Regions from separate parts of the Mus musculus genome. Here all the other regions are reported to be linked to region 4. The links are microRNA targets in miRTarBase. Many come from high-throughput screens and were not tested one by one. Region 4 holds a microRNA gene; each other region holds the end of a gene's coding sequence. Distances are from middle to middle.
What was found. The annotated mature microRNA mmu-miR-15a-5p reads UAGCAGCACAUAAUGGUUUGUG and lies in region 4 at 2,388-2,409, opposite strand. An mRNA with a match to its seed (bases 2 to 7 or 8) in the 3' UTR can be bound and repressed. Matches are read on the target gene's strand: a 7mer-m8 pairs with bases 2 to 8, a 7mer-A1 pairs with bases 2 to 7 and ends in A, and an 8mer does both.

Region 1 (5,075 bases), not on the chromosome of region 4:
GTGCTTTACCTGGGAGGGGCGGGGGGAGACTGTGTATTGCAGTATGGGAGGAATATGATGCTTCTGACCTTAATGTGTTTTAATGTTCTTTGTTTAAAAAGTATACTGGCTTGCTTTCTATGTTTCTAATAAAGAACCAAGAGAAAAATTCCTTCTCATTGTTGCAAATAAGATGAGAACATTACCACTGGATGCCACCAAATGCCAACGTTTTCTACTGCAATATAGGACAAGAGAATCAAATCAAGTTGTCCCTTTCAAGAACTGGAGAGGCTTTAAGGCCAGGGTACTTTAAAACTTGGACAAGTCTCTATTCTGGCAAAGGGCTAGAAGCAGTGTGGTTAATACCTAAATTGTACAATTATGCGATAAGGCATTTCCAGAATGCTTCTTTGGGCCATATTGTGCTCCAGGTATTAGAATTTTCTTTCTAAGTGGTAAAAGAGTTCTAATAAGTTTGCAGGAGAAATGAAGACTAGCATTCCTGACTTTTCTGACCTTCCTCACAGTCCTCCAGTCTGTATTTCTTCACTGGCTTGCTTCCTTCCTTGACTGGAGAAGTACACACCTTCTAAAATTACATTCACAATAGGAACTGACTTGGCTTTCAAAATCAGCTTATAGGAGAGCCACCCATCCCTCCTGCATACTTTAGACTAATCATCTTGATTATGAGCTTTTTAGGTTGGTCTGTTAAAGCTTTTAGTGCTCACTGGTAAAAGAATTATCTGAGTTGTTTAACAAAGGTTTGTTTTTTTTCCACAAATACTTCTTTTACTGGGATAAACAAGATTCAAAGTTTAATAATGGCTCTTGAGCATCAGTTTTGATTTTGCTATCACAAACAATATAAATTTTGTTATAGTAAATATTAAGTATTTTAAGTCTTTCATAATTCTGTATTAAAATTCTATTCATCAGGTCTTGTTTACTTTTTCTGAAACGAAAATATCAGAAAAGTACAGACATGTATAAAGTAACCCTGGGTGCCATCAATCCAAGTCTGGGCCTGATTTGTTGAGAAGAGTTCAGATCTTTCCTCCTGTATAAAGATCATTACTATTGAACAGCCCAGCAAGTATAGAATGTGAGATATAAGGTGGAGAGTGAGTGTTCTTTGCAAGTGACTCCAAGTTAATTTAAACCTATTAAATCAGCAGGTTTCTACTTCTTCCAGGCAGCTGGGGCTTATCTCATCTGATAGTCTTCGAAGCTTGACTCCCTTTTAATTGGGTACTCACTCTAGCAGGAACAGGCCTAGTGAATCTGGTCAGTTTCAGGAACTTCCTGAAGCTATTTTGAGTTTTCCTTCCTACTTAAGAGCTTCCTACTATAGGATGCAATATTTTGATCTCTGAGGAAAATGTTTATTCCACAAAATATGTATTTGTGAAGAAGAAAAAAAAAAACCCCCGCACATAATTAAGTGTTGCTTTCATCTCTAGTTGCTTCCAGCAAATAATCTTTGGTCTAGCCACCATATCCTATATACATGTATTATATGCTGATTCAAGGGATGAATGGGCCACAAAGGGAGAATTGGGAACGTGGTACATATCCGTGGGTACCAAAGCATAGTAAGATTAATCTTAAACTGGCTTGGTTAAAGTGATCAGAATGAGTGTATGGTTCTAAATGTTCTCAAAGTCTATTATTAAGTTGGTCACGGGTTAAAGTTTGGTTTGTAAAAGCAAGCTACGAGTAGTAGTATTTTACAGACAAGCCATTTCCCATGTCATGACTTTTCACTAACCCAGGATTTGAGTTAGCTATTTCCTTACTACTTAGCTTACACCCCATGTGTAATCATTCACCCAAGACATCCACTGTCTAGGTTTGGCTGCTAGAAGCAGTTGTAATGGCTACAAACCAGAGTTCAGTTCTCATCAGGCAGTTCACTAGCTCCAGGTACTAACTCCAATGTCCTTCTCTGGCCTCTCTCTCTCACACAGAGATTGCTTGCTTATACACTCTAGAAACTCTATAAAGAATTTACAAGTAAAATATACCAAAGTTTGGCAACTGCTAGAACTGGATGTCAAATGTTCCCATGTGGACAGACAGCATGTTCCCAGGAAACTTTAGAAGGTGGGAATGGGTGTGGGCAGACCATTGAAGATTATATAATCCTAGTAAATTGTGAGAGTCCAGAATCTTGCTCTGCTATGGATCCTCACTGGTATGATACTTTGACACTCCAAAGAAATAAGGACACTTAATTGTGTACTGGAACCTTCAGACTTACGAGCCAAAATAAACTTACGTCTTCTTGTGATCTATTGTGGAGATCAAAAGTTAATGTAGTGATTCATGGATAGGAAGATCTTATCAAATAGGCTAGAGTCATTTGGGAATAGAAGGTCTCAACTGAGGAAATGTTCCAATTACACTGGCTAGTAGGCAAGCTGATGACCAGTTTCTTACATCACCTTGATGGAGAGCCCAGCCAATTGAGGTAGTTTTCATCCCTCCTACTCCCTGAGCCTGTGGTTCTGGAATGCTCTATAAAAATAAGCAGGCCAAGTCATAGGCATCAAGCCAACAAGCAGCACTCCTCCGAGGCCCTGCATTGGTTCCTGCCCTAACTTCCCTGGATGGTGGACTTCAAACTGTAAGAAGAAATAAACCTTTCTTTCCCAATGACTTATGGTCACTTTTATCACAGCAATAGAAATCCTGAGACAAATTGTTGGCCAGAGAAAAATGCTGGCCACAACCTTTGGAAAAAAAGGCCTGTGGAAGGAAGAAAGCCACCTACATTTGTAATGCTACCACCACACGTTTTCTTTGAATGCATTTATTTAAGAGAACACAGCCATTCAGAATTGTGAAGCAGTATTAACACAGAGTAAGGCTGGAACATGAAGATGAACTGCTATAGTACATTTGCACAATAAATACTTTTAAAGACACATGTAGTTCTTTAAAAGCTAGATACTAACATAAATAACTAAGCATTTTTATCTTAATTAAGTGGCATACTAATTTTCTAGTCGATTTACTATATCAATTGCATGGCAGTAAATACAAACATTTTAAGCATGATTAAATATGTAGTGAATGTAAGTTGTCTATTCCTCAAGTTAATTATCCTCCTGGCCTCATGTTTGGATAAAAAGAAGAAAAGCATGCTGGACAGCAGCGATACATTTTACACAAATTTATCTACTATTAATAATGTATAAAGTGAATTGTACATTTTGAACACAAAGTTTTTATGTCATAGTGTTGGCTATTTTTGGTATCCAACTTTGTCACTAACTAGCTTTAGAGCTAGTTGACTTTTAAAATGAGAACTGGACTAGACTTTATCTTAGTGCCTAACCCGAGCCTAATGTTTTATGTCCTGTAAGGTTTCCCATTTTGTTTGGGAAGCTTTTAGTTTCAAATTTTTCTAACACAATATCTTTTGCAAAACCTTGTCTAAATGCAGAATTGTTAACATCGCCATGAAATTCATAATTGTGTGTTCACAAAGAGCAAATCATTTTTTTTTGGTGGGCGGGGGTGACGGCCATATTTTCTTACAGAGAAAACCGTGATCTAAGTACCTGCTTTAAACCCGTATTGCCAGTGACTTCCTGTGACGGCTCCTGTCTATTGCTTAGCTTCCCTCCACCTCCTGTACTGTTTTCCACTAACTATGGAACATCCTGGGCCTACCTAGTAAGAGAAGATTCTGACAAAATTAAAGTGACTTAGAGTTTTCAAATAACTAGCCTGTGACTTATTTACATAATTTTAAAACAGCTATTTGCTTTATACTTGTAGTCCTCTGTAAGGCAACAACAACACATCAAGTATTTCAAAGGCAGCCATACACTTAATTAATGTTTCTAAAATAAGTGCTAACACAATTTTGAAACCCAAATGTCAAGAATATTTGTTTTCAGTTTTAATACCATATGTACACAAAGCAGATGATATGCCTATCAATGTCCATTTTTCCCAATTTCTCACCATATTCAAAATTCTCCCTTTCCAATTCATATCATCAATAGACTTAGCAAGAACATGGATAAAATTGGCAGAGTAAATCTATTTCATGCAAGAGAAAAACAGTGTTACACTTACACAACAGCACATACAACTTTACAAAAATTGGGAATACTGTTACTGTCAAATAGACAATGGCCAAAGTGGGACTCATGCCAGACATCCCATTCAGTCAAAATCCCGATTTGTAAGAACAAGTGGTGCCACTAGTGTCCACACGTACAGCACAAGGCCAATCCAACTGGAAGAGATTTTCACCCAGACTGCTGTCCACTGACTTTTCATCTCACGAGAAGGCTCATACCTACAATATGAGGAAAAGTCAAAGTGATTGTAGGTTAATGGCTTGTGTTACTAAGCTATCAAGCTACTAGGCCCCTTCATTTAAGCTTCCTTTGTATGGAGTTTGTGATAATGTGCAGTAGCTCCTGGAATCATGATGGTCCTGCCATACCCTCCATACTGCTGCAGCAGATCTTTCACATAGTTCGAAGCAAGGTATGCAATCTGTACATGTTATTAAATAGGAATAGATGAGGATTGAGTAAAGTCTCATCTGACTATTCTGTACATGGTTGCAATGTTGATGGGCCTCCCTTCTCTACCTCACCACCCTCCCCTTCTAAGATTTGACAGATGGGGAAGGAACTAGATCCTAAAGTCAGCTGACTTTTGTACACACACACAAACCCTCATATTTATTTTTGCTTTTGTTTTTTTAACACACAGATTTCTCTGTGTAGTCCTGGCTTTCCTGGAATTCACACTATAGATTCAGGCTGCTTCTGCCTCCCAAGTGCTGGGATTAAAGGTATGCTCCACCACTGCCTGGCTTAGATCTAAATTTTCAATATTTGATATATAGTAAGTAAGTTATAAATTTCTGATAATACTCTTTCATAATAAAAATGAGTAAATACTAGCAGAAAATACATCAGAAAAGGATGATTTTTTTCTCCATCTCTGCTGGTTCTATAATATTTAAAGACATGTATAACCTGTCCAACCATACAGGTGAATATCAACCTTGTGTTGATTTTCTTTTGGCAATCATTTTAGTCAAAGTCATTTTAAAAGCA
Region 2 (5,075 bases), not on the chromosome of region 4:
TTAAGATAATGCATAAGGTACAGTGTTGCTTTGTAAACTTCTGTTAATCACATTTGTGGCTGCAAACAGGTTTTAAATGCTAGAGTCATGAAGCAAAAAGCTTTAAAGTGACACCAGGAACAGTGGTTCCAGGCACTTCTCTCTGGAGGTTATTTTAACATGTTTGGAAACACCCACTTGTAAGTGAAAAGTTCTTCATTTCATCACTGGATGTGCACAATCCAGACTATTAAGTAGTAAAGCAGTAGACTGAATGGGACCTATCGTTCTAAAAGGAATTGAATGTGTACACTGTGCATGGCTCCTTTGCATTCCTGCCCGCTGAACATTAGAAATGCCAGAAAGCCAAGCATATGCTTTTCAGAGCTGTCTTCTATCCAGAATCTAAACCTCATTCCCTAGACCCAAGAATGGGCTTGCAGCCTGCCCATTTCTACCTTGAGGAGTTGAAACGGACACACAGTCCACAAGCTGGGAACTCAGGGATGAATCTATGGCTAAAATTCACATGCTGAAAATGGAGTTGGCACAGGGAATGCAGGCTCCAGGGGGTCGCAGTCTATCAACAGGACACAACTTGTTGACAGGGGTGCAGTGACCCAGCCATAGGAGTTCTGAGGCTTCTGTGGCTACTCACAGGGGATTATCTGAACCCAGGGCAGCTCCACAGGCAGAGGTGGCAGTGCCACGTGCGCCATCACAACTCAATCCCGCTACTGAGGCAGCACGGAACTCGAAGCACGTGGCCTTCAGAAAAGGCATGCTATTGGAATAGTTCTCTGCTCCCCTAAATGAGGAGCAAGCATCTTTTTTTTTTCTTAAAATTATCCACTGCAAAGTAGTTTCTTCAGTTTTCACTTTCTACATTTTGCTGGTTTTTAGCTAGCAGCAATAGTACGGTACAAAGCAGAAAGGCATAAAGTCTGCTTGCTACCTAGGGTCTCTTTGTGTGTGTGCACACATGAACACACACACACACACACACACACACAGACAAGAGAGAGAGAGAGAATAATCTACAAGGTCTGGGTCAGTCATGAATTCAAGATAGAAAGAAAGACTAACCCAATAAAGTGGCACTGTCTACAAGGAGGACTCTTATCCTTCCAACTCAGATATAGTTTTTATCTCTGTACGTCTCATGTCTGAGCTTAGAAACAGAACCTATCCACAGGTGTTAAAAGTGGTCAAGTTCGATGGATTAGCCCACTTATGTACATCCCAAAGAAAGTCAAAGCCTAGTATCCTGCCGTTACTATAATTGCTGGAGAACAACCCAATCTAGATCCAGGCTCAGAGGAAAGTGCTATTTAGCCTAGCAAAGATCTCCATCTGTTCTTGGGTATTCTCTTATCAAAGGAATTGTATCAAGAAGCCAAAAATCCACTTTCCCCCTGGATTAGTAAGAGATGTGTTGGACGGCTTCATTTGACTTCACCTGGAACTCCTCATTTTGAGCTCTTAGGGGTTTTGCCATGCCTACTGAGTGAAACATACATAACACAAAATGTTCAAACATCTGTCACATTGTTGGTACAGAATCAAGCTTGGCCACTCACTGAACATGTTACATAGGCATATTCTTTAAAATTGTCCATTCTGTTTTCTTACCTATGTTTTCTTATCTATATATCTAATGATGCTGTTTAAAAGGTTATTTCATGTGTTCAGGTAAGGGAGATCGAGATCACTCACTCAGTTTAGTACCTGGTACATGGTAGGTTTTCAGTACATCATTGTAGAGCCTGTTATTTGGGGCAGCAGAAAGAAATACTATTGGCTGTGTGCAAACTCCATAGATGGTGAAATCTAATTGTTCTGAAATCTAATTGTTCTAGTTGAGATTCTCAATATATGAAAAAGAGGGAGAGATGGTTTTGGTTATTCTTATGGAACCAGAACTTAAGGCTCCCATTTTATCAAGAACTCTAGATGTCCCCCAATACGACACTATTTTTTAGCCCTAATTAAAATGGGAACAGTTTTCTTGGCATAGAAATTAGTCCCTACAACTAACCCTCATTTTCTCTCCAGTATTTTAATTTTCCCTACATTTATTTTATTTTTTACAGAACTGGAGAGAGAATCAGCGCCCCATGCCATGTCAGCAACTGAGATGTATCCCCAGCTCTACTTTGCTGGCCTTAACTCCAATAGGAGTCACTTGCAAACTATCAAGTTGTGGTCCAAGAATCAGTGGTTTGGATTTACAGTAGGGTACAAATGAGAATTACAAGTAAAAGCAATGCTTCATGCAACTGTAGACCACTGATGATATTCTGCAACATGGCTGATAATAGTTATAGTTCACCAAATAGCTCCCAACATCAAGGTACTGTTAAGTAATTTCTTACATGTCCCGTTTAATGTTCCTAGCAAGCCTATATACTATTAATATCACTACAATTTCATCTTTTAGTAAAATATATAGAACACTATCCAAATTTGCCTACAATCCTTGTGAAGGGGCCATGCTAATCTCTGTTTCATTCTAATTTTAGTATATGTACTGCTGATGTGAGCACAAGTACCATTTCATATATATAAGAAAACTGGGACTCAACGGAAGCTAAATTACTTGCCAAAGTAACATATGTCGTAAGTGGAGAAGCTTCTGCTCTTCTTTGTTGTGTTTGCACTATAGAATAGGAAGCAGTCATACTAGGACTTCACTATAATCACATGGCTGGCTGGGTATCAGGTGCCAGGGAAAAATCCTCTTAATGTCCTGCTTTCCGAGCCCTCTAGACTTAACTTGGATAGTATCTACTTCTTTATTTACATTCCCTACACTTGCATCATTCTTCACCAGCCCAGATTATTCCAAACAGACCTGGCAATGCTCTGACAACACCGCCTCCATCAAGCAAGTTGTCAGTGATAAGTTGCTTTCTGCTTCCATGAGTCTCTTTTATAGCATTTAGAGACCATCTCTCTCACACACACAAGCCCCACCTCTTCCATGTTTCTGGTGGTTATAGAAGAACCTAGACTGATCCTTGAAGCAATCTCTCTCCTTCTTCGAACCCCCTCTCTTGTTAACAGAATGGAGAGCCTACACGTGAATAACACACCATAGTTGTCCAAAATCACCTGGGAGTAGTTTGCATGAGAAACAAAATCTGACAATTCACTTTTCCTAACTCTCATTTTCTCCTCTGCCACTATAACACTCCCACACTCCATTTTTCAGGTTTCTCTGACACCGAAGGACTCAGACTAGCACTAAGCTCAGAAACTTACTCCCATCTCTTCACTGTCTTTTCTCCCCCTGCATTGAAATCTTTGGCCCATCTTTACCAGGAGGGAAGGCAGTGTTTACATAAAACCATGGATTCATTCTCTGGATCTTTTATAGTAATTTAAAAGGGGTTCTAACCTATCCAGTTTCTTCACACTTTAAGAACAGTCTCTCAAGTATTCCAGCACACATTGGTACAGGTTTTAAACTTCAGAACTCAGAAGATAGGGGAGAGGCACGCCAAATTGAAAGCCATCCCCTCTGAAAATACAGGTAAATATTAATCTCTTCCCTAACTGCACTGGGGAGAAATTAATACTTTTCTAATTAGATTGCCTGAAATAAATACCTATAGTAGTAGACTGTAATAAAAAGACACCTGTAATTCATCTCTCTGATCTTGAATATGTCTTTCAACCTTATTCTGTATTACACATGGAAAATGGATTCTTTTACTTTACTTTGGTATATCCCACAATTTATGCCAAATCAATTAAGCATTTTTCTAGTCCTTAAATTAAACTGAAAATGTGGAATCTGTGAAGATGAATTACTTTAGAATTCTTCTGAAGTTCTTTTAAACTTAGTCCACTAGAATAGACCTGAACTATGTATATATAAAAGCCCAACAAGAACTGGGATTAATTCAACAAAAACTGAGTAAAGAAAGAACATTGCACATGGTTAGTACTGTTATCCTCCCTACAGAGTAAGCCACATCAATAAATAAAGCAATGGACTTTTCAGTAATGTACACTTAAATAGTTACAAACATATATGTAGAAAAACGACGCAGTAGTGCAAAAAATAAATTATTAAAACAGAAAGAAGTATGAACATTATTTTTTACAATGCTTTATAAAACCTGAACCATTTGAAATGAGACCTCAAGTCAGTGAAAGAATGCAGTAACATTAGTATCTCTGCTTGACATTTCAACCACACACTCATTTAGCTATGAACAACAACTCACTTTTTTAACTTCAGAAAAATTGATGCTAAACATCAACTCTTTTTGACTTCTTCACACTTCTGCTATTTGTGTGTTAGTATAGTGTTTCAAGAAGCATTTGAAGACAGTAAGTCAAACAGGTCACATCCTTTTGGTCTTTCTACCTCATTTCTGTGTGGTCAAAAAGAATAACAACATCTATCTAGGGTACTCTCTTCTGTTAAGGTGTTATTGCAATTAGATATGTTTACAAGAACATTGCCTCGGGGCAGTGGAGAGGGTAGAAATTCCTCTTCCACAATCCAGTCCCTTTAATTTTGGTTTCTCGATATAAAGGCCAGGATACGCCGAATACCATTCAATCTGTCCTTTAAGGACCTCATTGCTAGGAAGGGAAGCTGAGCTCTGCTTTCCAGAGGAAGAACCGCCAGTGTCCACCAGCACCAGGCTGGACCATTCGGATTAACCTGCAACAGAGAAACACAGTTCATGGATCCCATGTAGTCCATGTATAGAAGTCCACATGCATACAGTAAAGTATCACACATGGAACTGCTTCTGTGTGTGGCACACATTGCTGAGAGGCATTGTTTTCCTCTTTTATTTCAGCTAAGCATACATGGTGGCAGGGGATGAGGAAAACTGTTACTTCTCAGGCATCTTTGCAGCTAGGTGAGGCCATAAGGTCAAATTTTGGCTAAAAACAAAGAGAGGTGATACATCTAAGTTCCCATCATTTTATGGGAAAAGAACATGTAGTCTCTTCCCTCCTCTTTCTTCCAATTTTTTAAAATTTCTTTTAAATGTTTTTAATTATTTTATGTGTATGGTGTTTTGCCTGCATGCATGTCTGTCTGTGCACTACAGAAGTCAGAAAAGGGT
Region 3 (5,066 bases), not on the chromosome of region 4:
AAGATAGGAATTCAAGAAGGCCGCCTTGACTAGAAATAAATCCCACTGTGCTTTAGAATCATGTGCATGGGGGCTGGAGAGATGGCTCAGTGGTTAAGAGCACTGACTGCTCTTCCAAAGGTCCTGAATTCAAATCCCAGCAACTACATGGTGGCTCACAACCATCTGTAATGAGATCTGATGCCCTCTTCTGGTGCATCTGAAGACAGCTACAGTGTACTTAGATATAATAATAAATCTTAAAAAAAAAAAAAAAAAGAATCATGTGCATGATGTAAAACGGTGAAGCTTATGTAGAGGACATGTGCATTGTTGTATTTATGACACCTAAAGGCTGTCGTGCTGCACACAAGAGTGTATAACACTGTCGTTCCTTTCAGCACCAGATGCCTCTCTTCCGGAAGAAGATGGTGTGGGAGATCCTTCACCAGCAGTTGCTGTGACAATGCCCCGCCTGGTCTTCTAGCTGCTGGTGGTTCTTTGATGGATGTTTCCATATACCTCATGCATTGTGGGTTAAAAAGTCCCCGATCATTTCTCTTCTCTCACAGGTACTGAGCTCTCAAGAGTGCATGAAGGCCTCTCCACAATGGCCCTGACTAGAGGTGTGGAGGGGCTGCTTGAAACCCTGTTTCTAAGGCTGTGCCTGCTCAGAGCCCTGGACTATTCACCCCATACAAGAACAAATGCTAATTAATGTGTTTTGTTTTAAAGCGTTATTTCCATATGAATGTGGGAAATGCAGGATCTGTTATATGAATTGTTCTGTGTGTTCACACGAATTCACTCTCTCATTGGGCAGTGCCCTTTTCCCACTGCTCTTTTATAATTAGCTATAAATAATTTGGACTATTTATTTCTGAAAAGAATGTTAATCAAACTGCCACTTCCTGCTGCAGAGAGATATCAGCAGGGGGAGGAAGGAGGTGTTCGCTAGCTTCTCTAATGCTGGAGTGCGAACTGCCGACATACAGTTAAGGTTCTCTCTTTTAAGGCTTGAAAATGCCAGAAGAAATGACGATGCTCTGTTGTAGGATCTGGCTGCCTTTTAGAGAGTCTGATGCTATGACACGGGCACAGTTCGTGGAAATGTGGCCAAGGAACTCGATCTGTGCATCCTCAGAACGGGGCGTGCGCATCTTAGAGACTTTCTTTTCTAGAACCGAAGTAGCTTGGCTTCCTCTTGAAACTGGATTCAAAGTAACTGTGAGCATCCATGTTAAGTCGTAGGTCTGGTGAGTGAGTGTGTGAGCCTCACCAGGGAAGGGCTGGCCTGAGCTGTCTGCTCTGAAGATGCTCCTCAATGGAAGCCTATTTTTCCTCAGAGTTTTTTTTTTTTTTAATATATATATATATAAAGCTGAAATTAAGTTCTTGGCTCATCAGCATGCCCCACTCCAGCCCCACTGAGCCTTTGGAGAGAGATTAGTACTTGGCTCTGAGGTTGCCAGGTTTACAGGCATCTATTTTGCATATGAAAGTTTGTATTTAACTTTTTTGTTCATTAAAAATCTTACAGGTGTGGTTATGCATTGTCAATTTCAGAAAGTTGGTCAGAGCACATTTTGCAAGATCTAGTGCCTAGTGTTGCTTTTATGACGTAATAAAAGACTGGCAGAACCTAGAGTATATTCTGATAATTTTTCCTCTTTTCTCTGCCTCAACCTTCCAAAGTTGTTCTGGTACAAAAAGAGAGAGAAAGAGAGAGATAAAATTAGAAAAGCTGCACACATGTTAGATACAAACGTACACGTCTGCTCTTGGGACGCCTGGGCAGCTGATCAGAGGTTGTAGCTGTTGAAACCTGTTTGCTCTGAGACTTGAAATGACCTTCGTTATGGAAGCTGGGCCTGTGATGGGGACTGAAATGGCTGAGCCAACCCGAGACCAGGTGGCCTAAACCTGAAAGCGAGCATGTGGTCTAACAATTCAGGGGTAAACGGTGTTGTAACCTCCTCAAGGCAGACTACACAGGGACCCCTTCCTTTATTTAGCCTAGACCCCCCCCCCCCCCAAGCACTGTGCCAGTGATGCCGGGATCAGGCAGCTGGTCTAACCAAAAGAGCCCAGAAGTTGATCCTGTCTACACTACTAAAACCTGGGTGCTAGAATTCTACCTGAGAATTTATGATCCCGGCCTATCAAACAAAATAGCTACCTGACCAGAGTTTGATCCCCAGTGCCCACACTGGAGGGCGAAAACTGACTCCCCAAAATTGTCCTCAGACCTCCATACTTGCACAAACCAACAGATGGACCAAATTAGTAATAAGTAAAAAAAAATTAAAGGAATTTTAAGGGCCTTGGATAGGTTTGTTTCTGTTGGCTCAGTCCTGCTTGGATGGCGACTTTCTCTCCCCAGGTGAGTGATGCTATAGCTAATGTGGCATTTGAAGGTGTCCTCAAGCTCGCCACCCGGGTGTGCTTAGAACAGGAACCTGGAGAGACAGATGGTTGGGTGGTGAGGCCAGGATTGACTTTTAGTCTCAGCCAGGTGTGTCTGTAACAAGCTGGATCCCTGCTCACATCTGTAATCCCAGTTCCCAGTGGGGAGAGGCAGGGTCGGTAGATCCTTCCTGGGAGGAGCAGGAAGAGTGATGGAGAACAACTTCCCTCTCCCATGTCTGCTCATAAGCGCATCCACCACATTCCTGTGCACACACAGTAAGTTCTTATAGAAGATGGAAAATGCAAAAGTACAGAATGTTAAGCTATGGTGGCACTGCTTTACCTGAGTGTCTGAATCCAAGCTAAGGTACCAGAAGCCCCAGCTCTCTGTCACCTGTGTGCGCACGGGTAACAGAACTGTTACATTGAGCTTATGAGAAGAATACAGATAAGTGAGAAACAGCACTTGGTGTAACTAGTGAGTCGGCAAAATTAAAGCCGGTAATGTTTTTGTGAAATTTCAATTTTGGAACCTGAAAGAAATGTTGCATTGTTCTGTTTAGCCCATAGTCTCTAAAAATGAGTAAAAGTTTAAGAAATACACACTGCTGGTGACATCTCTTTCTGCAGCCGAGTGCTTTATGCTTGTGCTTTGCCTTGTGTTGGAGCTGGGTCGGGAGAAAGCCATCTGATGGCCATCCCTGAAGATTACATGGTCTGTCCAGGCCGATGAAGGCTGTTAGAACCCCTGCTCCCTCTCTTTGAAGTCCTGAACACCTGGGGGCTGCCGGGGGATGCTGGGTATTCACCTTCACCAAGGGGATGTACGTGATGCTCGGATCTTGTGTGGGTATAGGGAGTCTTCCCGGGATACAGTAAACCCCAAATACACAATTTAAAGTGCCATAGTCAACCCACATTATTTAAATGGCCTTGTGAACTAATTTTGAGAAAATCTCTGTCAAGTAAGTTTTTAGAACTTATTTGTAAGTTGGAGATACATCTGGCTTGCTGACTTAACTGTTTTTTTTTTTAATTAGGTATTTTCCTCGTTTACATTTTCAATGCTATCCCAAAGGTCCCCCATACCCACCCCCCCAACCCCCTACCCACCCCCCCAACCCCCTACCCACCCACTCCCCCTTTTTGGCCCTGTCGTTCCCCTGTACTGGGGCATATAAAGTTTGCAAGTCCATTGGGCCTCTTTTTGCAGTGATGGCCGACTAGGCCATCTTTTGATACATATGCAGCTAAAGACAAGAGCTCCCGGGTACTGGTTAGTTCATATTGTTTTTCCACCTATAGGGTTGCAGTTCCCTTTAGCTCCTTGGGTAATTTCTCTAGCTCTTAACTGTTTTAATATACACAAATTATTTGGGGTGTGTTGGAATACTAATTTTATCTACTTACCAATAAATTAACCTCTTAAGTAGTTTTTAGATTTTTAAATTGGAACTCATTAATATATTTTATCCTATGCCCAATACACAACATGGATATATATCATTATTTTGTGAAATAAACGTTTGCTTTTTCAGGCTGGAGAGATGGCTCAGCAGTTAAAAGCACTTTCTGTTTTTATTGAGGTCCATAAGTTTGAATCCCAGCATCCACACTGCAGTTCACAGGGAACCCAATGCGATGCTGTCTTTTGGACTCTGGACACACCCACATGATATATAGACACTCAGGACAAATACACAAGAGTGGGTCAGCTGGAGAGGTGACTCAGTGGTTAAGAGCACTTCTAGTGCCAGCTCTCTCTTCTGGCCTTCTTGGGCACCTGCACTCTCATGTACAAAACCATGTACATATGTAATTAAAAATAAAAAGGTGAGACTGGCCTTGAGTCAATAGAGGTCTGTCCAGCTCTAAATCATCTGTTTCATTTCTCAGTGCAGAGGTTCCAATCCAGGGACTTTGGTATTTTGGGCAAGTATTCCATCACTGAACTAAACCCTCAGCCATAGTTGAAAACACTGGTCTTAATGACCTGAAAGTAAAATGAAAGACAGGGGGTTTAAAGACAGGGAAGGAGGGAGAAAGAGGCACAAACAGTTTGAAGATGATCCTTCTAAACCTAGGCAAATAGGCCAGAGCTTCCAGATACTTGATGGAAATCTGTGGATTAATCACTCTGGTTTATACATTGGCCTTTCCTAAATGTGTCCAGTAGAAGTCCAGTTACTTGTCTACATAGGTGATAAGACAGGAAATCTGAGATTGACAGGATGGCCCAATGGGAAACCAGAACTTGAAGGGGGACAGAGAGCACCAACTTCTAAAAGTTGTTCTCTGACCTCTGTATGCATACCAACACACACATCCAATTTAGAAAACAGAATCTGGCTCAGTGAATATGTGGAGTGTGTCTTTTCTGCCTGGAGAGGCATAGCCAACATGAAGGTTGTTTTTTTTTGTTGTTTTACAAACAGTAAGAAACACTTTATTATAACTTTACAACATATAAATAGCTTGGTTCCAATCTGTGCTTTCTGGCAGCTGGGCACCACATTCCACCATCCCTTGTAGGCTCGTGAACATGAAGGTTTTATGTTAATAAATTGTGTCTTTTGTTTTTATTTTGTATTGAGAAAGGTCTCTATAATCCAGGCTAGCCTGGAACTAACTCACTGTAAAGTTGATACTGTCCTCAAGTCTACAACAGTTGTCCTGCC
Region 4 (5,075 bases):
CACTGACTGATCTTCCAAATGTCCTGAGTTCAAATCCTAGCAACCACATGGTGGCTCACAACCATCTGTAATGAGATCTGATGCCCTCTTCTGGTGTGTCTGAAGACAGCTACAGAGCTGGAGTGAGTGGGCCAATTGGAGCAAGCAGAGGTCCTGAATTCAAAATTCCCAGCAACCACATGATGGCTCACAACCATCAATATAGCTACAGTGTACTCATACACAGAAAAAATGCTCCAAAAACGGAGTCTATAGTTAATTAAATCAACTTGTTAAAACTTACTTAATTTTACCTTTAAATTAGAATTGAGTAGTGGTTCTTTTGAGGACAATTCCTTAAAAAATAACTGAAATACTTTTAGGATCTCCACAACACACGGTAGAATTAATTATGAACCTTTAATCTGAAAAGGTAAGAGACTCCTTGTAAAAAGTAATGACAGAGTTAGAGGACATTATTGTGAGATAATGTGTTTTCTTGAACATTTTAAAATAATGACGTAAAACATTTAAAATAAAGCACATGGGATAGTTAAAAGAACATTTCCGGGCTGGTGAGATGGCTCAGTGGGTAAGAGCACCCGACTGCTCTTCCGAAGGTCCGGAGTTCAATTCCCAGCAACCACATGGTGGCTCACAACCATCCGTAACGAGATCTGACTCCCTCTTCTAGAATGTCTGAAGACAGCTACAGTGTACTTACATATAATCAATAAATAAATCTTTAAAAAAAAAAAAAAAAAAAAAGAACATTTCCTTTGAAATAATTAAAATATTCTGAATATATTTATAAAATTAATGACTGTTAGCTTTAATCTGAAGTTAAATATTAAGGCACAGATGAGATGTCTTTCATACTTTTGACTTATAAAAATCTCCTGTTAAACATTTTAGTGAAAAATAAGAAAAACAGTAATTATTAAGTTAGAAGATATAGGATTTATACCCTAATATGTCATAGGTTGCAAATTAAATTTCAGATTGTTTCCTCAGTTAACCAATAAAAAGGTCAGCTATTCTAAGGATTCTTCTAAATTTAAGTTTAAAAATTCAACGTACACATTTTAGTGTTATTCTCCTTCATTTAAAATGAAATATTTAGGCACATTATACTCAAGATTATGTTATAATCTGTAGCATTTCAAACTTTATCTGTATCTAAAGAAAACTTCAAATCAAGAGAAAAGTATTTTTCTATTATAAGTAATAATATGAGTTTAAATTCATGTACAATTTGGTACTTCCTAAACTCTTTCAAATAAACTTTTATATGGAAATGCTGGAAAGAGAGCTCGAGCCTTGGTGGTACTGGGTATATTCTGTACCACTGTAGCTCTCAAGAAACTCTGGAAAGGTGTTCAAGACTTAAAAATACTTGTTATATTATTAGTCAGTGCTCCATCTGTGGATCCAACCAACCACACATTCAAAACATTTGGGTGGCCAGGCATTGGGGCCTACAGTTTTAAACAAAGAATTTGGGAGGCGGAGGCAAGAGGATCTCAGTGAGTTTCATGGCAGCCTGGTCTACATGGTGAGACCCAGGCTCAAAAGACCAAACCAAAAAACTTATTTCTTGGACAAAAACTGCATTAGTACTGAATTGTACAGTTTTTTTCTCATCATTAAGAGAATAACTTGAATAATACAACTATCCATGTTAACATCCCACTGCACTACACATTAAAAACAATGTAGAGATAAGTTTAAATAAGTATAAGGGAGGATATGCACTGGTCACGAGCAGACATTTTATACAGGAGATCCAAGCATTTACAAATCTGGGTATCTAGAAGTCCTATAATCAGTTCCTCACACAGAAGTCATTATGTTTTGTTTGTTTTTAAAAGACAGATCCTTACATAGGTCTTAGACTTGCTTTATGGCCAAGGATGATGTTAAGCCTCTAATTCTCTTTTTTCCACTTCCTCAGATCTAGGATTACAAGTGTACCTGGTATGCAGTGGTAAGGCTAAAACCCATGGCCTTGTGCATGCTAGCAAGAAGCACTTGGCCAACTGAGCTGCATTACCATCCCACAATTATATAGTATTTTAACAGACACAATATGTAGAGCGTTGTTACTAACATCATTACAGAATCATACCAAACATAAAATCACTAATGCAATTAGAAAAACCGTGTAAACACACAAGTAACATCAATACACATTGAATTACAGTTGTAGAGTATTGCCAACCTTACTTCAGCAGCACAGTCAATACTGGAGGTAATTTCAGAATCTTAACGCCAATATTTACGTGCTGCTAAGGCACCGCTGACATTGCTATCATAGGAGCTATGAATAAAAAGACAGGTACTCTCTTCAGAAGATCAGGTCCTTGTATTTTGAGGCAGCACAGTATGGCCTGCACCTTTTCAACATCCACAAACCATTATGTGCTGCTACTTTACTCCAAGGGTTGGTTTTGAAAACTCCTAGCACCTCAATAGTAATTTACAGAAAAGGCTTTTTAGGAAAAAGTAGAACACATAAAATCTATGTTTGAAAAAAATCTAACACTGGTATGTGCATAATTTTATAGGCTTTCAGCAGAATAAAAAGTATTTCCATATCATAAGTTTAATAAAAGCGTACAGAAAACTTAATACAGTGCTGTAATTTATTGTAGTCATGAAACGAGAAAAGCAAGTCATTTTCCCATACCAACTTAAGAACCTCATTTATTAAACTAACAACTTTTGAATGTGCTTAACACATGAAATAGCTACAAAAGTTGGTTTTTACCTTATTAAGAGCAGCACATCTTTCAAAGCCAAATCCATAGGACAAAGCTTCATGTTAAAGGAAACATGTAAGAACAAACATGTAAGAGCTCAGTTTCAAGAAATTTATACTAGCAAAATATTTAGAAGACATACACATGAAACATATTCCCCAAAAATATATAACCCCCAATCTACACATGAACACAAGATTTATCTCAATATTGGAATAGTTATTGTGAGTTCAGTGTCATTTATTATTACCCAGAACATCATCTTAGGATAACAGGTCTATTTGGTTTCCTAAAAGGATATATCAGAAATCCTGTAGCTCAAGCCTAAGTAACCATTTGTGTGTTTCCCAGTTAAAAAGGCTAGTCCTTTAAAGGAGTATCATTTTATACCACAGGACTTTGACTTAGCTGAAACAAAATTTTTACTACGTTAAGTTCCAACTTCATTTTATGTGTGTGTGAATATCTAGGTTTTCTTACACTATTAAGAAGACTCTTTTCTGTTTAGTGGGGGACTTAGCCATCCCTTCACAAAGAACTGTTCTTATTATTCCAGTTCATACCAGATTTTCCATTCAAACTAGATTACTGTGTAGCAAATGTTTTCTAGTGGGTCAATGCCATTTCTCCATTCCCGTTCATGTTGGGTCATTTGAAATATCAAAACGTCTTTAAATCTTCAAACCTTTGCTTTCAAGTGTGCCAGCTTAAAAAAAAAAAGTCTGAAAATAAAGATAAAAGCTGCTAAAAGTGATTTTGTCCTTTATCTTTATACAATGATTATAATTTCAAATTCAGTGGTTTTTTGAGAGAGGTTTTGAGGACAGTGGCTGCTGTCCTGCAATTCATTCTATAGACCAGGCTGGACTGGAACTCAGAGATCTATCTGCCTGGTTTCCCTCCTGCATGCTAGGATTAAAGGCGTGCACCATCATGCCCCGTTCCAAATTCAGTGGTTTATATTCTGGCCTAAGGACCAAAATAATTTTTCTTTGTTGGGTTTTTACATAGTTCAACTTTTTACTAATGTTCTTAAAAGGAAAAAAAAGCCATTCTGAAAAGAAAACAAAATGTTTTGCTTAAGAAGGTAACTTGAGTGTACATAGGAATACATGGCAATCTTTAAATACCTGAAATTAATATTATTCGTATAAGAAAACAGAATTTTACAACAATTTAAGAAGATAGATCAAACCAAATTGTCCTATTTCCCCCTTCAACTCTATTTGTTTCCATTAATATTTTTCTTTAGAAACATTTACTTTTTACCTTATAAAACTTCTAATATTAATTCATCTTGTTTCCATAAAGCTTAGCACTTCACAAACATTTATAGGCATGTTGCCCAAGCTATATCATCATCTTGACTGCATCAGAATAATGGGATACTTTTTGAATTTAATAATAAGCAACCAGTAATTTGTTGGAGCACAATGACAGAATACAGAATCTGAGGTCCGAACCCTGACACTGTCCTTTGAGTGTCTCCCATGGCTGTTATTCTAGTACACTGACCCTTTCTGGTTCCCTATCTGCAAATGAACCATTAACATACATATAAGCCTTTGTAGGACGCTTCTGAACCATAGCCATCTTATGAAGTTGTCTAAGAACATGGAGAAAACACTACCAGGTTTAAGTTCTGATGACAGAGCAACAATTCTCAGGGCACAAAAAATCTACTTAAATAGCAAAGCTAAAGGCATGAAATACTGCAACAAATTTGGGAAGTTAAAAGCTGGGTATGTTAATATCTTTGATGTGGCAATAATGCCACTATAAAATCTTTGGAACTGTTTCTTCTCTAAACATTTTAAATTCCTAGTTCTAAAATTTGATATGTGAAAAGTGACAGAATCATTTGTAGGGCATACTACTAAATAGTTAAAAATTCCATTTCCATGTGATTTTTTTCTAGGAAAATGAGCTTATGTAACATATTTGAAAAAGAAATTGTTCTAACAACAACAACAACAACAACAACAACAACAACAACAACAACAACATACCCAAATTTTATTTAATGGCTATGAAAGGAAAACTAAACTGATTGTTTAGGCCAAGTCAGGTATGGTGATCACTGACAACTGAATATGTATTTCAATTTGCTCATTTTTTACATGGAAATTTTTGAAATTCAAGTTGCAAGGCTGCAGAGTTACTCAGTGGTTAAGAGCATTTTGTTGCTGTAAAAGACCCAGGTTCAGTTCCCAGCACCCACATGGAGCCTAAGCACTTCCTCCAGCACGCACTGCAGACATACACGAAGGCAGAACACTCATACTTTAAAAAGCTCAAATTTCAGAACAGAAGATGACAACAATAATTCACACT
Region 5 (5,075 bases), 8.9 Mb from region 4:
TAGTGGCCAGAGTGGAACCCGGGGCTGTCCTGAGTCCTGGGGGCTTGTGGCTGTCTTCCCCTAAGGTGATAGGGACTGTGTCAGGGGAGCTGAACAGATACCCACCCCCGCACCTCCAGTCGCCATATCTGCCTGTCAGATTATATTGCCTGGGCTAGACCAGAGCTCTCAGGACAGTCTTCTGGAATGCTTAGGGGTTAGTGGAGATGAAGGTGAGGAGAAGTACTGCCCTCACTCCACCACGTTCCCCATCCTTGCCTTAGAGCCTATGCCACAGGCCAGAGTCCTTGCAGCTGGCTGTGCTGTGCCTGAGGATGGAGCAGAGCTGAGGACATACACAAAAGACACAAACACGGGGGAGGGCGCTCGTGGGGGGGGGGAAGCCACCCAGTGTGTGGTCACAAGACCAGATCATGGACCTGGCAAACTTACTAGCACCCCCAGACTCACATGGGCCCAGCCCTCACCCACCCCGACCCCTCACAAACTGACACACATGCTGACACACACTCGTTGCTGACAGGCACAGACTCTCTGACAGCCGGCTGCCCTTTCTCCACCCCAGAGACCCTTACCTGGGCAAGCACAGTACCCCTCAGGCAGAGTAGCCCCCTGCCCAGGGGTGGGCAGCAGGCAGGGCGGGGGAAGGAGCCCCGGAGAGTCAGGCCAAGCTGCCACTAATCCGGGCGGGGAGAGGGGGGGCACCCACGTCAGAGCGGGGACTGCCGGGTGGAGGGCATCTGAGGACATCCCCTCCCACACACGCGGCCGTCTGGGCACCTAGCCCTGCTTCCCCAGCCCCTCCATCCTTCAGACAGCTGAAGCTGGCCTCCCCCTACCCCACCCCCACCCCTGTGGCCATGCTTGGGGTGGGGGGGCATGGGGAAGGGGGATACAGGGCGAAGAAATCTCCCAGGACCAGGGGGAGGGGACAGGGAAGGGAAGTGTGGAGATGCTGCGGGAGCCAGGAGGAAGCTTGGGGTAGATGCTGTCCTTTCTGCTCGCTCGCCCACCCACCCACATCCTTGACCTAATTCCTCTTCTGGAGCCCTTCCTCTCTCTAGCCCTCCCCCACTGCCATCTAGCCTGCGTTGTGTTCCAGGCTGAACTTGGGACCTGTGTGTGCAACGATGCCAGCTCTGCCCCCAGGATCCCCCAACCCTAGGAACCAGCGGTGAAGGTCGCTTGTTAGTGGGCACCAATCTCAGATGCTGGGTGAGAAATGGGGATGTGAACCTGAACAGTTACCCCCTGGAGCTCCTCCAGTGCCTGCCAGGACCCCTAACTCAGCCTGGGCTAGGGCTGCATGTGTGGGACCCAGAGGCTTAGGATGCTGCTGGGAGTGGCAGCTAAAAATAAAGCCACAGGATCCTGTGTGCTGTGACAGAATCCAGAGAAGGGGAAAGTGACCAGGCTAATGAAGGGCCACAGGTCAGAGGGACAGTGATGGAGTCAGAGGCAGAGGGTTAAAAAAGGATGGCAAGAGGTGAAGTGGAGAGAGAAAGGACTGTGAGAGGAAGTCCCGGCTGTCATGGTAACAGGCCAGGAAGAGTAGGAAAAGCTGAGGAGTGGGGGTGGGACCAGAACTCACAGAAGGTATGTGCTAGGGACTGGTCTCTGGTGTCAGGTCCTTTTCCAACCTTGATCCTATCTGGGGAGGAGACCAGGCACACTGGTCTCAAGTAGAAAGTTGGTGGTCCTTGGAAAGTAGGAACAAGACCAGATGCCCTCCCTTTAAGAGGCCAGGCCAGAGCATCAGTGGTGGTCCAGGGCTCTTTTCCAGGGGAGGATAGTGTTGGGTGAAGGTGTGTTTGGGTAGTTCTCAGAGCTGTTCTGAGGGATGTCCAGGTTGCTACCCAGTGCCCCAAGTCTTGGCTCACATTTATGCTTGCCCAGAAATGCCTACCACCTGGACCTTCTACACATTTGTTTTTCTGTGGCCTCAGGATGCTTAGTAACCATGTGATTTTACCCAGCCATTCACCAAGCCATACCAGAGACACTGGTGTTTTGAAAGCTGTGTGGTGGAACTAAGGTGACACGGCACAGCCACCAAAGCAAAAGTTCACTCCCACCCTGAAGAGGTTTAAGATGTTTGATGTATGTGTTGGTTTAGTCACAATCCTCTTTCAGGCTTCGGATGGGTGTCAGGCCTTGAGCTGAGGCTGGGAGCCACAGTTAGAGATATGACCGTGGTGACAAGTGACTCCACGACTTCTAATCCTATGCTGGGGAGTGAGAGAGGCTTCTCAGAGGAAGGGGTGACGTTTCAGTGCAGAAGTTAGACACTAAGCAGGATTTCACCAACAAATCACACAGTTATAAAAATATCACACCTTGGTTCAACCATGTAGTCTGGGATACAACAGTAAAAATAAGGCTGAAGTCTCTCCGTGAGTGGCTAGGCAAGGCAGAGGCATGCGCGCAGAGGGTTCTGAGACAGGTGTATGAGTTGGAGTAGGAGAACAAAGCAGGCCGGGGGAGGGCAGAGGTGGGCTCTGCAGAGCCAGGGCACAGTGGCTTCAGCAGTCCTCCCAGGAGGACCAAGTGACTTTGCCCACCTCTCGGGCAGCACCTCTATAGAGGAGAAAGCCGTTTCACCTGTAAGATGGACAACAGGCCCTTTGCGAAGATTCAAAGAAACCAGCTCTGAAATGCTCAGCACAAGGTCAGGCGAGCAACAAATATCCCACACATGCCAGACTCCTTCTCCCTGCCCCTGCCCCCAGGCAAGGAACAGCCCATTTACTGAATAGTGATTAAGAACATCAACTCTGGAGCCAGACTGCCTGGTCCAAAGCCCAATCCTGCCACTTACTAGCTAGTCCACCTTGGGCAAATCATTTGCCCTTTGTGTGCCTGTTTGGGAAATGGGGATCATAGTAATAGCGGCTACTTCCTTGTCTCCTCACCCCTACAGTTCCTAGCAACACATCTTTTGGGTGAAGTAATGAGGCAGTAAGAGTCAGCATCACATACAGAGGGGATGCCATAGAGAAAAGCCACTGAACCCCAGTCCATGCCAGGCTAAATCAGCCACACAGATTAAGTGCCTTCCCCTCCAATAAAACCCAGATAATCCCTACACCAAGAGTTAATCCTCACAGGACACTCCAATTTAGCAGCTCATAGTTTTCCTCCAACCAGCACTCTTGACTCCGAAGTGGGAAGGAAGGACAGATGGGGTGGGAGGAGGGAGGACCCTGGGTACAACGTGCCTCCTACTTTAGGGGCAGATGACCCAGGGATCAAAGGAGATGGATTAAAGTCAACCCAGGGCAAGCGCCTGGGTCTCTATGGATGGAGAAGGCAAGCATCAGACAAGGGCTATCATTGGCTATCATCATTCCTTTGGCCTGCCCCATCAGCATCCAGGCCCCAGCAGGGTGAGGCGTTGGCTCGTCTCTGAGCCCCGCCCACTTTGACCTGGAAGGTGGGGGCAGCCTGGCCCTAGGCAGCTGCTGCCCTCTTGTGGCTTAGAGTGCAAATTCACCCTAATCGTATCTGAATGTCTACAGGAAGAGTTCACTGAACTGTGGCTCCTCTAGGTTCATGGAAGACCTAGCCTGCCTCCTCAGGTTTGCTCTGTACAGTTTCTATAGGCTCCCCATCTCTTTGCCTCTTCCTGTAAGTACTGATTCCCGACTGACCCTTCAAGATCAGTCTGACTCTTTGTTTTTTGTTTTTTGAGACAGGGTCTCTCTAGTCCTAGCTGATCTGGAACTGGCTATGTAAACCATGCTGGACTCACAGAAATCCTCCTGCCCTCTCCCCCTCAACCATGTTGGAATCAAAGGCTTGTGCCAATACACCAGGCTCTACCCTAACTCCACAAGGATCCCTAGGAGCAACTGTAAGAATACTGCTGCTGGGATGGGGCACAGAGATCTTCCAGCAGTCTCTACACCCTTTGCCAGAGCCTGCAGTGAGTTGTTAGCTACAATATGAGATGTGAAGAGACAAATTAGGAGAGGCCAAACACTGTTTGGTATTTATTTATATAAAAATATTCATAAGCCTGACCTCACTCACCAACACGAAACATGCAGCTAGTGTACGTAAACACACACACACACACACACACACACACACACCAGGCCTTGGAAAAGGCTGTCAAGTATTTTGAAGGACAAGAAGGAATGAACACAGCTGGTTGGACTTTTGGTTTCGTCGGTAGGGACTGGTGGGGCTCTGGTCCCGTGTCTGAGAAAGTAAAAGGCAGAGGAAGGCAATAAATAGGCCCCAGGCCTGGGCTGCTTTGGTATAGTGAATGTCTCCCTGTGCAGGGTACCACGCCATGTGCCATTTAGGCACAAGCCAGACGGAGCAGAACCCCGGTAGCTGGTGTAGCAGCGAAAGGTCCCCTGCTGGCTCCAGAGGTAAGGTGGCCTCAATCTGCAGACTCTAGCTGTCCATGTCTGAGGGCATGGCCTTTTTCCGGGTTCGGACCTTCAGGGAGCGTGAGGTGCCCTTGGGAAGAGAAAGCCAGTATACCTTGAGTGGTGTGGGCACTGCAGCTCCATCCACACCCCCCTCATGCCGTCCTTCCAACACACTTACCTCTCGAGTCAATGGCTTCCTCTTGACCACCCGAAGGCTCTGGCTGCGGCCTAGAGGCTTCTCTCGGGGCCGAACAGGTGGCTGGGGGACGATCTCATTGTCTGACCAACACTCATCCTCTGTGTCACTGCCCTGCAGGCCGCCTGGCCGGTATCCTGCCAAAGAGAGGCCCGCAGGGCAAAGCTGAGCACTTATACAAGCCTAGGGTCACGCCCAGCTTGCCTCTAGTCCTCAGAGAGGTCAGCTCCCCCTCTTTCCACTTACCAATAGGGGGTCTACGTCGGGGTACCTGGTCTTCCAGGTAGAGGGGATCTTGGTAGGTGGGGACAGGGGTGTCAGGGATAGAGCGCAGGTCTTGCATAGAGAAACTCCGCAGCCTTCCAGCTAGAGCGCCTTGACTCTAGGAGGTGAGGGATGGGAGCCGCTGTTAACTCCAGAGGAGGGCTGCGAGGGGAAGGGCTGTAACGGGGAAGCTGCCCTTCAGCTAATCTCTGGGGCACAAGATTCAGAACTGA
Region 6 (5,075 bases), not on the chromosome of region 4:
GGGCTTTGAGATGTTTTCACTGTGCAGGAACATGGGTTTAATAAGACATCAATATTTAAGTCAGGCACTGCAAGGCAACGCAATGGAGTTTAGGATATAGCACCTAAGCTTCTCTTCGTAGGCCACGAGTTGCAAAGCTGATAATGTTTAAAATGCCAACTAGCTGGGTGGTAATGGGGCATGCCTTGGGAAGCCGAGGCAAGAGGCTAACCTGATCTACAGAGCGAGTTCCAAGATAGCCGGGGCTACACAGAGAAACCCTGTCTCGAAAAAAAAAAACAATAAAATACCCAGCTGAAAGCAATCAGACTTTCTGGGGCAGCTCAGGTTGCTCTTGGGAACTGGCTCACTCCATGTTGCTGCCTCCACACCCTGCAGCCCCCAGCAGACGGCTCTGCTTTCATTTCAGAAACCCAAGTCTGACACGGTGAGGACTTCCCTCCGCCTACTCACGTCCAGTGCCTACCGGCTCCAGTCGGAGTGCAGAAAGGCTCTCCCAGGAGACTCCAGCTTACCCACAGATGTGCAGCTGGTCACACAGCAGGTCATCCAGTGTGCCTATGACATCGCCAAGGCCGCCAAACAGCTGGTCACAATCACCACCAAAGAGAACAGCAGCTGAGCTCGGGTGCTGTCTGCCTGCCCATAGACTATACACGAACTCTTCAGATTTTTACAAAACATTTAATGATGATTTCAGACTTTTTAAAAGAAAGCTCAGTATTATTTTTTGCATGTTTTCTAACAGATTTTTGACTGTAATTTAACCCTTGCCTTATTTGTGCCTATTTGCAACTTAGTTCTGTCCTGTCAGATTGTCACCAAGTGCTTAGGTCATGACCCCATGTGTTCAAAAGTCATTGTTCCAAGTGTGTTACAACTTTCCTGTCCTTTACAATCTCTACCCATGCCTAAAGCTATAATTGATATTTTTAGTAAAACATTTTCTTAAGAGATAAGAAAGTTGGATTTAAAAACAAAAACAAAAACCCCAGCAGCAGCAGCAGCATCCGTCCCTTCCAAGCATCGTGCAGTCAATCAGGAAGCTTCCCTTCCATCCTGTGGGGTCTCTCCATGTGCACGAGGAGCAGAGCTTCCCACTTCCTAGAGAGAGCGCATCTCTTGGGAGTGACAAGGAGCGGATCCATTTCTAACTCTTGTATCATGTTAAGTGTTGTCTTATTTAATATTTTTATCTTGATTTTCTATCTATAAAGATTTTACCATCATGCTGATGTCTCCATAATGTCCAAAAAAGTAGTTAGAAATCCACCCTTTACATCAGCTTCCAGTCGGCCACATTCAGAGCAGGAGCACCGCCCACTGTCAGGGGCCTGCTTCCCCGCCAAGCCAGACAGTTTACTTAGAACCCTGAGTCAGTTTCACAGGCCGTGCTGCTGACATCCTCCACACGGCTCCTCTGGAAGGATGTCTTCCCAGGTAAGACGCAGGGCCTCCGTGTCCCCATCCCCTCACGGGTAGTTCATGATTAGAACTCCTGTGGCGCTGCACGAAGAGTTCCCCGTGTGCCCTAGCTGGTGGCAGCTCCCCCACAGCTCCCCAAGGGCAGAGGTTGACACCCAGGCCACCGCAGCACTGGCGCTCGCTGTGCTGAAGGCACTTTGTCGATCGCTTCTGCCTGGGTGGAGCTCTGGCCCTGACCTGAGGGAGCAGGCAGTGGCTATGTTGCCAGCCAGGTGCACAGACAGCCAAGGGCGGCTAGGGACCCCACCCAGCCTGTGAGGACAGCAGCTTGTCCCACTCATACCCCTCATGCAGCTGTAGAAAAGTAGCCTGTGGCTGCCAGTGCTTTGGTTTTTCAAGGAACCAGAAGTTTGAGTTATTTCTTGACATTTTTCTTTTCTTTTCTTTTCTTTTTTTTTTTTTTGGTTTTTCGAGACAAGGTTTCTCTGTGTAGCCCTGGCTGTCGTGGAACTCACTTTGTAGACCAGGCTGTCCTGGAACTCAGAAATCCACCTGCCTCTGCCTCCTGAGTGCTGGGATTAAAGGCGTACGCCACCACCGCCAGGCTTCATGACATTTTTCTAATCAGAAATGTGGACAGTCAATCCAGACATGCCCACTGAACAGGCTGCCCATCTCAGCCTCCGCTGGGGTCTGTAACCTGCACATGAGTGAACCTGTCAGCCAGCCCTGGAAGGCAGCATCAGTCTCCCATAGAACGACCAAAGTGAGGTGACCTCAGTATGCTGAGCCTGCCTCATAGTCCCTCTTACAACATGGCCAATGCATCCTGGAGACAGCATCACCTCAACGTGAGGCTCACAGCTCGGAGGAAAGGCTCAGCGCTCCAGGGGCCTGCCCACTCATCGATACACACAAGCCTAAGTGCTGGAGGATGTCCAGCAGGGCCTTTTAGAAAGGGGCCGGCCAGTGTGAGCTCAGGCATCCTCTCTGACAAGCTTTTCTGCGTGCTCCAAGGATGACTGCTCTTCCTGGCAGGCTCCCTGGAGCTGGTTCCAGCCTGAGCTGGTTCCCACCATCCCCAGAGAGAGCAGGCCTCTGTTGGAAGCTTCCGGGAAGAGAACTGTTAGAGGTGGAGTGGTGCAGTCCCGTTAAGTCACGAAGAAGAATGCTGTCCTTGAGAAATCAAAGAACACGGGGCCAGTACAGCATTTCCAGACGCTCTCAAGAACACCAGTCAGTCCCATGTCCTCCTCAGGCTGAAGGCCCTGTGTGGAGGCCTGAGGAGACAGCAGGAGGGGCCCCACACAGTCCCTCCTGAGACCTGGCTGGGGTTAGAGCATACTGTTCCTGTGGGCAAATGCGTTTTGTCTCAAAGCTCGCCCTGGCCGTTTTTGGGTTTTTTGCACGTGGGTCTCATCGCCTCGCAGGAGTGAGCTCTGCATCCAATCTGGCTGCTCTCTCCCCTCTCTGGGATTCTGCCTTCCCACCTGTGTACCCCACTTTCTAAGATGGAGAGGATGAAGACACAATTAATGGAGCAGGCCCTGCCTCAAGCTCCGTTCCCGGAAGGCACTGTGGCCTCAGCACCACGGTCTTTACTTGCCAAAGACGAAGTCCAGTGTTGCGTGCACTCGGGACTCTTAACGGCACAGCGCAGGGGCTCTGCCCTGACCTCAGTGACTTCCATCATGGAATGCAGCCTGAAAGCCGCGTGTTTTCATCCTCCACAGCTTCGGTGGGCTCGCAGTGCAGTTTCCTTTCCTTCTTTGTCCTAGCTGGCTATCACCCACGCTCTTACAAAGCAAAGTGCAGCATAGAGAAAAGAGCATTGCATACCTGGTGTTAAGCCCCCTCGCTCCTCCTCCTCTGGTGGCTTCTCAGCATCCTGAAGTTACTGTCCCTGCCTGTAAAATCCTTCTGGAATCTGTGCCCCACTGGTTATGCAATAAATCGTCTCTTTAAGTGTGTGGTCATGTGCCCCCTCTAGTTGGTGGATATTTCCAGACTAGGTGGGCTGGGGGGTTGAGATTTGGTCTTTTGTTATCTATTGTAAAGCTAAGTGCGGGCTCCCAAAACCTGGTTGTCCCAGAGACAAGAGAGTCCCCACTGAAGACATTAGGTGACCCTGTCCCCATGTTAACTCTGATTGGAAAATAGAGATTCCAATAACGGGGCAGAAGAGACATAGGTGAAGTTTGGGTTTCGAGGGCTTGGGGTTGGAGGAGGACCATGAGGAAAAGAAGGCAGCAGGAGGGGGAATGAGAGCAGCCATGGGTTAGGAGGAAAAAAAAATGGCTCCGTGGGCTGGCCAATTGGAGTTAAGAGCAGCCCAGATAGCCGGGCAGTGGTGGCGCATGCCTTTGACCCCAGCACTTGAGAGGCAGGGGCAGGTAGATTTCTGAGTTGGAGGCCAGCCTGGTCTATAGAGTGAGTTCCAGGACAGCCAGGGCTACACAGAGAAACCCTGTCTCGAAAACAAACAAACAAAAATAACAGCCCAGATGAAATATAGTAATAACTTGGGGTTGTCAGTAGGAAATAGATCCTAACAGCATAGATGGGTAGACAACGGCCTGACTTTCATACTGTTTAAGGTTATGGTGAATATGAGGGTTGTTTGTGTCTTTCATCCAGGAACCTAAACAACAAAGTCAGGGTAGAAACCTCAGACCAAGATTAAATACTTTCTGCAACAGTGGGGGCAAGCTCCCATGTGGCTGATCTGTAAGGAGACATGGTTTAAGGAGACATGGTCTTGGCTCAGTCTCCTTCCTATGTTCTCTGTAGCCTGTTTTGTTTTGTATTTGAGGCAGGGTCTCATGTAGCTTAGGCGCACCTTGAGCTGTCATCCCCCTGCCTCTGCTTCCTGAACACTGGGATTACAAGCATGTGCCACCATGCCCAGCTCTTCACCCATGTATCCATCTAACCCGGTAAGCTTACCCCAGTCATTTTTAGGTCGGCCCAGGCTGGCCCCGCACATGCGCCCTCCTTCCCAACAGGCAGTCGGGTGATAAAACTAGGCCCACAGTGGGGCCAACCTTAGCCCCACCAGCATGTTTTGAGAAGTGACTTGGTACTTCAGATGAAAGGAGGAGGAGACAAAAGAACCATTCCTGGGCCTCTCCAAGTGAAGTCTGAGCAAGATGAAGTGTTACATATACCCTGTGTGGCCCAGCTTGCCAGGAGAGAGGGCCTACAACCCTCAGGTTGGAGCCAACAGCTCACACCCAGAGTGCTCCTGAGCCAGGTTCCCAAGACCGCCTGCAGAGCTGCTGAGCCTATCCCACACACACCCTGATCTGACTGCATGATGTGGGCGCTAGAGCTGTTGCCACCACCGCCGCTGCCGCCACTGCAGATCAATACCATGCCAGAAGGCATTGTGCTGCTGCAGGCAGACTCTGTGAGGTCCATGCACCACACAGCACTTCCCCAGCTCTCGGTTAGCCATCGTAATTCCAGCTGCAGTTGGCTGTGTCAGGCGTTGCTCTGTTCTTTCGGTGGGTGACTTCTTGGGAGTACCGGGGAGATACCTTAGCCAGTAAAGGTGCTTGCCTCGCGGCCTGACAACCTGAGTTTGACTCCCAGGTCCCACTTGGTAGAGAAAATCAACTTCTGTGAATTACCCTCTAACCCCACGAGTG

Region 1: the mRNA of Serinc1 is a reported target of mmu-miR-15a-5p. The part of its 3' UTR that is shown has no 7-base or 8-base seed match.
Region 2: the mRNA of Lonrf3 is a reported target of mmu-miR-15a-5p. Seed matches in the 3' UTR shown: 8mer at 884-891.
Region 3: miRTarBase lists Senp2 as a target of mmu-miR-15a-5p. The part of its 3' UTR that is shown has no 7-base or 8-base seed match.
Region 5: miRTarBase lists Reep4 as a target of mmu-miR-15a-5p. Seed matches in the 3' UTR shown: 7mer-A1 at 4,348-4,354.
Region 6: miRTarBase lists Git2 as a target of mmu-miR-15a-5p. Seed matches in the 3' UTR shown: 7mer-m8 at 1,393-1,399.

The regions. Positions count from the first base shown.
Region 1 is chr10:57,512,993-57,518,067 of GRCm38, forward strand. It overlaps Serinc1 (serine incorporator 1), which reads right to left. Exons shown (of 9, transcript NM_019760.3): 9 at 2,782-4,300. The coding sequence ends at 4,165. Hsf2 (heat shock factor 2) reads left to right here. Exons shown (of 12, transcript NM_008297.3): 12 at 1-151. Among named protein-coding and RNA genes, the nearest start is that of Serinc1, 17 kb to the right of the region's middle.
Region 2 is chrX:36,361,349-36,366,423 of GRCm38, reverse strand. Lonrf3 (LON peptidase N-terminal domain and ring finger 3) reads right to left here. Exons shown (of 11, transcript NM_028894.1): 11 at 1-4,660. The coding sequence ends at 4,505. LOC115489189 (a small nuclear RNA gene) reads right to left here and starts at 2,525; the gene lies at 2,422-2,525.
Region 3 is chr16:22,046,253-22,051,318 of GRCm38, forward strand. Senp2 (SUMO/sentrin specific peptidase 2) reads left to right here. Exons shown (of 17, transcript NM_029457.3): 17 at 381-3,017. The coding sequence ends at 443. Among named protein-coding and RNA genes, the nearest start is that of Senp2, 39 kb to the left of the region's middle.
Region 4 is chr14:61,629,688-61,634,762 of GRCm38, forward strand. Mir15a (microRNA 15a) reads right to left here and starts at 2,423; the gene lies at 2,340-2,423. It overlaps Dleu2 (deleted in lymphocytic leukemia, 2), which reads right to left. Exons shown (of 7, transcript NR_028264.1): 4 at 2,750-2,796. It overlaps Mir16-1 (microRNA 16-1), which reads right to left and starts at 2,285; the gene lies at 2,193-2,285.
Region 5 is chr14:70,547,825-70,552,899 of GRCm38, reverse strand. It overlaps Reep4 (receptor accessory protein 4), which reads right to left. Exons shown (of 8, transcript NM_180588.2): 6 at 4,825-4,960; 7 at 4,561-4,715; 8 at 3,965-4,470. The coding sequence ends at 4,405. Among named protein-coding and RNA genes, the nearest start is that of Hr, 3.9 kb to the left of the region's middle.
Region 6 is chr5:114,725,729-114,730,803 of GRCm38, reverse strand. Git2 (GIT ArfGAP 2) reads left to right here. Exons shown (of 20, transcript NM_001347400.1): 20 at 410-3,393. The coding sequence ends at 622. Among named protein-coding and RNA genes, the nearest start is that of Mir7028, 8.8 kb to the right of the region's middle.